Linked DNA regions of Zea mays. Each later gene encodes a partner of the first gene's protein in a complex. Links are inferred from orthologs where the notes say so. Each region holds a gene or a part of one and is shown on either strand. Other genes may lie near its edges. The genes, in order: uncharacterized protein LOC100280166 and Gamma-tubulin complex component 2-like.

Evidence for each region.
Region 2: uncharacterized protein LOC100280166 (region 1) and Gamma-tubulin complex component 2-like share a complex: the UniProt entries of both Arabidopsis thaliana proteins name them as parts of the gamma-tubulin complex. The link is inferred for Zea mays from reciprocal best matches to the Arabidopsis thaliana genes SPC98 and AT5G17410.

What each region holds. Positions count from the first base shown.
Region 1 is NC_050102.1:128,663,132-128,667,575, reverse strand, and holds uncharacterized protein LOC100280166, read right to left. Parts: upstream 2,787-4,444; 5' UTR 2,555-2,786; coding exon 1,260-2,554; intron 1,152-1,259; coding exon 902-1,151; 3' UTR 633-901; downstream 1-632. UniProt on the Arabidopsis thaliana protein: Gamma-tubulin complex is necessary for microtubule nucleation at the microtubule organizing centers (MTOCs). Required for the positioning of the gamma-tubulin-containing complex on pre-existing microtubules and for the proper organization of cortical arrays.
Region 2 is NC_050105.1:131,200,716-131,203,455, reverse strand, and holds the end of Gamma-tubulin complex component 2-like, read right to left. Parts: intron 2,715-2,740; coding exon 2,631-2,714; intron 2,500-2,630; coding exon 2,425-2,499; intron 2,334-2,424; coding exon 2,199-2,333; intron 2,116-2,198; coding exon 1,990-2,115; intron 1,905-1,989; coding exon 1,797-1,904; intron 1,665-1,796; coding exon 1,602-1,664; intron 1,498-1,601; coding exon 1,423-1,497; intron 1,277-1,422; coding exon 1,083-1,276; intron 992-1,082; coding exon 865-991; 3' UTR 601-864; downstream 1-600. UniProt on the Arabidopsis thaliana protein: Gamma-tubulin complex is necessary for microtubule nucleation at the microtubule organizing centers (MTOCs). Required for the positioning of the gamma-tubulin-containing complex on pre-existing microtubules and for the proper organization of cortical arrays.

The DNA.
Region 1 (4,444 bases):
TATTCAATATAACGCTCAAGTATTTTCTCTACATGCAAATGTTTCAATTTAAGATCGTTGCTCACAATTTTGCACAAGAAATAGCAACCACTCCCAAAACTAACCAAATTTTTTGTATTTGACAAAGCTTGAACATCTGCAAATTCCCACGGATTTCTTCAAGTCTCCTTTTTCCGCATCCATTCAGTTGCATCATGCTCCAAGCAGGCCATTCAGTTGCATCATGCTCCAAGCAGGTCACTAGCTTATGGACACTGAGGTGATGTTTGCTTCACATATTTGTATTTGTAACGTGAGAGATAACTGGTGATAGATAACTGATAACGTTACCGTAATCGGATACCACACTAAAAATTAATATTGTTCTATTTTAGCTTATTATTACCGATACTCGAGTGTAAATCATTACCGTTGCTATTTACATTACATTTCTAAACCAAACTTCAAGATCAAAACAATGTAATGAGTTATCTGCTCTTGTAAAACTGACAATACAAACTGTTAAGGACAAATCTTCAAGACCTCCAGCTTTAATTCTCAAGAAATTAATAGAGAAAAAATAAATATTAAATTTACACCAGAACATCCATGAAAATCAAGATCAAAACAAACTTACAATTGTGTACAGAGTTGCATGAAATGCGTGGCTTTAGCCTCGTTGAATCGGCACATAAGCATCAGCATGCAAACAGCTGACAGAATCACCAGATTGTAGCATTGGCAATCCTCAGTAAAAGGGTATTCAGATCCTCTTCTACAGGAGGTGCAAGGAAAATGGAAGTGACCATTGCCAATCAAGCGACCAAGATCAATTAATGGGATATGGTATAAAAATAATGCTTTCCAAGTCCCAACCAAACGATCAATCTAACTCCTAGTTTTTCACATAAGCGGCTCACATTCATTTGTTGGAGGAAACACGACTGTAATATTCAGTGAAGTCAAGGCGGAAGAGAAGGAACTTCAAATCGACGTGCTGTTGCATGGGCAGCTGCGTAATAAAAGCATCAAGAGAAGCTGTATAATCCTTTGCGATGCTATCCAGGTCTTCACCCATTTTCCAGAAAAGTTCTCCAGCTAGTTGGATCATAGCTTTTCTGCCGCCATCAAACCATGAACCTGTATCCTTTGATTTTGATTTACCCTTTCCCCTGCAATAAAAATGAAACATTGGAGTAAAATGTAAATCAAACAGTAGGTATGAGATAAGCTTTAAAGTAAAGATGGAATCACAATATCTGATTCTGCAATAATCTAACCTTAGCTGCAACTCATATATCCTTTCAAACCATCGATCAGCATGGCTTCGAAACTGTAAAATAATGTCAAACAGTTCAAACAGATTCCTCAAAAGTCCTTGGGAATGTTCACCAAGCAGGGCCTTCTCCAGTATCGAGTTGAGATATTTATCGTGTGCTAAGAGAAGGTCATCTAAATCCTTTGCTGCATCCATTTCATCAGAAAAACGGGCCCACGAAACCTCCAGGACCTCAAACATAATGTAGTATTGGAAATTGGTCACAAAGTGATTCATCTCATTGAATAGAACTTGACATTTACGAAGAACTGATACAAATTGAGCTCTGATGCTTGTTCCTTCCTTGTAAAATGGAGAAGAAACAATGCAGTTAGGTTTCATAGTCTTCCACACTCCGGTAAGGGAGTGATCTACGCGTTTGAGCTTCCACAAGAAGTTGAAAACCTTGAGATACATCTTCATAACTGAAGCTGTGAACACAGTGTCCAGGGGGACCCTAGCATCATACTCCAAAGAGAAGACATCCCAGCCACGATCACCATCCCCATGATCCATCATCTTTACCTTTATCCGGTCCAAGATATCACAGTCATCATATTGTGCATTGGATGCTCGGATTGCAGTCTCAAGCAAGCCAGCCAATTGGAAGGAGCTAATCCTATTTGCTGGCTCTGATAACTCGGGGCCAACAACGTCCATAAGATACTGGACAAAATCACCCTGCCCAAGAAGCAAGTAACGCTTAATAGCAAGGCAGTGGTCCTTAAATCGGTACCGCTTATGAATGACATCCATCAAATGTCGATCAATCCTCTTGGCTGCCTCAACCACCAATGCCTCCAAAGCATCAGTCTCCCCATAACCAAGGCCACCCCGAGATGTTGTAGTGCCAACATATGCAGCAGCCTCGGCAGCAGCATCAGCCCAGCCACTATCGTCACAGCATACTCTAAGAAAGTTGATTGACTTGCCAGTTCTAAGAATCCGTTTTGCGAGCACTGGAGATATGAAAGCTGGAAGCATATCAGATTGAATAAGGTAGCCCTCCCGCCACAAAGATTCTGCTTTCACTGGCTGCCCAACGATAAAAAACTCTGCAAATACATCCTCCAATTCCCCTTCTAGCACCCAGCTCCTGACCATCTCAAACAACGGCGAGCACACCCGGCGCAGTAATCGGCCCATAAACTCCTGAAACATAGGATCTCCGTGTTGTGCGTGCCCATGGATCACACCAGCCATAGCACCACCCCTCAGTCCCCGGCATCCATCAACCAGAACAGCCATTAGGCGCATTCTCACTGCAGGCTCAGCAAGCCACACTGCAAGACGGCGCAGTGAGAGGTAATTACTGGACACACCTGAATCAGATCCAGGTGTGGGAATTGGATTCAATGAGTACGATTCCAGAACAGCCAGCAGCTTATAATAATCAGACAGCTCCTCCTGGAGCGCCGAGCAGAATGCCTGGGTAACAGTGCCCACCTCAGTGGCAGCATCTGAGGGCGAGCGGCTTATGTTGTCAGAAATGAAGCCCCGCACCTTGCTGAACAGCCAGCCAAGCTCGCATAGCTTGCGAACGAGGGTGCGCGTGGATCGCGGCACTCGAACACCGTCTGGAAGGTCGTAGGAGTCCACGGACTTGTCATAGCGCACGTAGCGGCCGTCGATGCCCTGGCACGCGTACAGCACGTCCCGCACAAGCGCGGCCTCCGACACCTCCGTCTCGTCGATCACCAGCTCGGTGTACTCACGCAGCGCGATCTCGCGGATGTTGTCCGGATCCTTGGAGACCAGCACCAGGCCGCCCGGCGGCGCCCCGTGCGTCCGCGAACCCGGCCTGACACCGGCGCCCGGCGCCGTCCCCGAGGTGGCATTCTGCGGTAGGGCGGCGATGGGAAGGTTTGGGAGGCACGAAGCCGCGGCGGCGGCGCGGTACTGCGAGGAGAGAGAGTCGAGCAGGTAGAGGAGCGGCCACAGCGACGCTGGGCGGGCACGGACGGAGAGCTTGGAGTGGAGGTCAGCGAATGAGAGCGCATCATCGGGGCGGCCCGAGGCGGCGAGGCGGCGCTTGATGGACTCCGCGAGCGCGTGCTCATCGGGGAGGACCGCGGGGGCGAGGCGGCTGGAGAGGATTCGGTGCGCGAACCGCAGCGCACCGCCCGTGTCGCGCCCGCCGCCGCGCCCGCCGGATTCGGCGGCGGAGAGGAGGCGGTGGACGAGCTCCTTGACGAGATCCTGGGTTTGTTGGTCCGTCATTGGTGCGGGCTGGGAGGATGGAGTGGAGCTAGGGTTCCGGCAATTGTGTGCGGGGTTTGGGAAATTTTGCGGGTGCGGTAGGCCGATAGCTAGTTCTGAGTGACAGGAAAAAAATGGTTACAAGCCGCTTGGCTCGTCGTAAAGCGTCCGTGTGGCATGACTGGTGTAGGATAAACCGAGACAAGATTTCAAACAATATACCAATATAACACCTTGCTTTACTAATTTATTGTAAATTTAGGGGCATACATGTCCAAAGGACGAGCTCAACAAAGTTTTATCAAGTATGGTGTTTGAATCCTTCTAATTTCCTTGTGAAGTGGATCTATAGTAATGAAATTGCGCATTAATGTTCTATATATTGTTAGGACACATAGGTTTTATGTCCTTAAAATATGTAGCCGTGGTAGAATATATGTAGCTTTTTCTGATTTTACGATATACCAACCTATACCTTTAGGGCATGTTCGGTTCCTAAGAAATGGTCATCTGTAACCATTCTTAGCCAGATTTTTTGTCTAATTTATATAGGGTTTGATCAATTGGATCAATCTTAGGGTGAATTCCGGCTCAAATGAACAGGTCCTTATCGATTTAGCTAGAGAGATGCGAGGAAAACATTTATTAGGGTGTGTTTGGTTTGACTTTTGACTTTGGCTTTTGTCCTCCTAAAAGCCAAAATCCAACCAAAGGGCTGGATTCAGAAAACAGTTTTTTCTAAAAGCCGACTTTCTCGTAGTGCAAATCTGAAAGCACCCCTGGACCTGCTTTTAGTGGCTTTTCGGATGGAACTGTGAAAACATATGTCGAAGAATTTTTAACGACTTTTAGTAGTTTCCACCAAACGGCTTTTAGCTTTTTAACAGCTTACAGCTTACAGCTTACAGCTACCTTTTCCACAGCTCACAGCCCACAACAACTTTTTTC
Region 2 (2,740 bases), on another chromosome or scaffold:
ACAGGGCCGCGAGAGGAGACTGGCATGCTGAGTCCAGAATCCTTGATTGAGCTTGGCAGCCTGCCACTACGCACTATCGTGCTGATTCGTGTGGAGGTGGACCCAACTTAAAGTTACCGCGCATGGACCGGATTTTAGAGAAGTCCAAGAGACTCGGTGAAGTGCCTTTGCTCGGTAAAAAAAATGAAAAGCGCCATGGCTTTCATACTCGCTTCTTCATCTGGCTCGGCATCACAGGTAGTGTTCTACAGCTGCATGTCACGACGACAGTCCTGGTGGCGGCAGGTGCAATAAGTGGATGTGAAAAGTTAAATTTAGAGAATCTGTTGGTTAACCCCACCTTGAAGAAGTTATCTATTTTAAAGAGTCGTCCATAAAACTCTATAATTGGCTAGGATTTATAACTAGACTCTTGGAGTTGCTTTATTTGGATTTCATCAACTTAAATTAGCTTAATAGCATGATATTTACTATTACATTACTGGCCGCTAACCAACTCTCGTGGAATACCAATGCCCAGTTCGATTCAAACCAAACACTTTTCCCACACACGTGGAAATGAACTCCACAAAGCTTACATCTGAGTCTCACAACACAACACAACACAACCACACATTGCTATTGTCAGATATCAACAGCACGAAATGCTGAGTCGCAGCTGATAAACACACAGCAAGGTTCGAGCTCAAGATAACAAGGCTCCCGACACCACCCTAGGGTCACTAAACGCGTCGTAGCTCCACATTAGCATTCACAAGAAACGGATATGCACCTACCTTGACTGCAGCGGCGCACATAGAGTATGGCATTGTGCCAAAAGTCCAAATGAAGGCAGGCAGGTATGGGTACGGCCCATCAAATAACTCATTGGCCGATTCGCACGCCAAGAATGCACTGTGCGAGATGAGTCACGTACGGCTCCGCTTGTGAACTGTTACTCAGCGTAGGAGCAAGACTCTGCAGCTCTGAATTGAACGCTGCTTCAAATTTCCTGCAGCCAGCCAAGACCAATGCGATGTTAGATGGGTGGAACTTAATTTAATACCAGCGTTTCAAGGGTAGATAGAGGAGCGGATACGTACAGGATCGACTCTGACATGACAACATTCTCTGATGCTAGTTTCAGCTGCTGGTCTCTGTCCTGTGATTTATCGATTCTTGATCTTGACTTCCTAGACTTCGATGTGTTCTCAGAGTTAGCGACATCGATAGATGGCATCAAGATCTGGATGGAAGTGGCATACTGAAGGCATAAACCTTTCAGCTTCTCGACTTTCTGTGAATGCAAATAAATAGAACAATGATAAGAATTGATTCTTTCAAAAAAAAATCTTGAATGGTACCAAGAAAAAGCTATCAACCAAAAGTTACTGTTTTATCTTCTTTTCTTTTAGTTTTAAGAGAAAGGGTAAAAGGACACACCACAAGGAGTTCAGGCGACAACAGCAAGCATTCTTTTAGACACTTCTGGAGGAAGAAATCATGGATCTGGATAACCTGCAAGCAGTATTAACATCAAAAGGTAAGGCATTCCGCACGGTTAGCATCGCAGTTTTTTTTTTGCAAAAAACACCCCAAATTGAAAAAAAGAAGTGCAAAACCTCATCTATGCTCCTTGCTGTTTGAAGGCGGTCATGCATCAGATGCCAATTTGGTTCAAGAACCTGGGACCAAATGAATAGTTTAGAACTTGCCCAACATGTATGGTTTACCTCAAACGTCAGACAATGCATGGTGTTATCTGTGGTTTAGCATGATCAAAAGAATAGTTTAGCATGCTGATATGTATGGTTTACCTCAAATGTTAGATAATGCAAAAGGCTATTTACAAACTTGAGCATGCTACGACAAAGAATTGATGACCGCAGAATTGGTGTCCCTAGAATCTTGACAGACCGGAATGCCTGTCCAAGAGTTAATATCCAGTCAAAGTTGGCGTACACAAAAATGTTAAACTGGTTTTGCAGGAGGAAAAGGGTTCATTCATACTTGTTGTATTTGCCATGCTGCACACAGCTGGCGACTAACATGCTTGCAGTGGAACAATAGGCGAAAGATCAATTGGTATTTTGTCAAAGCCTTCCTTGAAATTACAAGAGATAACGGCCACTGGACCTGCAGGGTACAACAAGTATATCATTTCACTATCACAAGACAAACATGAGGAAAGTTTTAAACAAACTATTAAAATAGAAAACCTTATTGCTAAGGCAGAATGTTTCCAAACCCGTGATGCTTAATTGCATTGATCGATCAACATCTGCTGCAGCAAGCTTATCTGCAGGATCCAAGTCCTTCAGAGTGGCCAGTTTCTTAAGGAGGGAACTCCTTTCCTGTTGAACGCAGATGTAAACAAAGATGATAAGCTTGCTGCAGTACTCCGTAAAACGCCATATAGTATGACCAGATCCAGATAATATTTACCACACAGCAGATTAATTCCTCATGGCTTGGATCTGAAGCAGCTGCAGTACTCCGTAAAGCAATGTCAAGCAGAGACTGCCGTATAAAATGGACAAAGAAAGCAGAAACAAAACCAAAGAAGCAGCAGCTTTTTCATAATCAGAGTTGACCAAAAAAATCTGCTTTTGTCATGGCACAAACACACAGAAAACGCATATGAGACAAACCTGAAGTTTTTCAGCGGATATTTCTTCTGGTTTCTTTGTAAGCTCCTCTCGAGCAATATCCATAAAATGGACCAAAAAGTCACCCTGTAAACTAGATAAAACAGATAAGA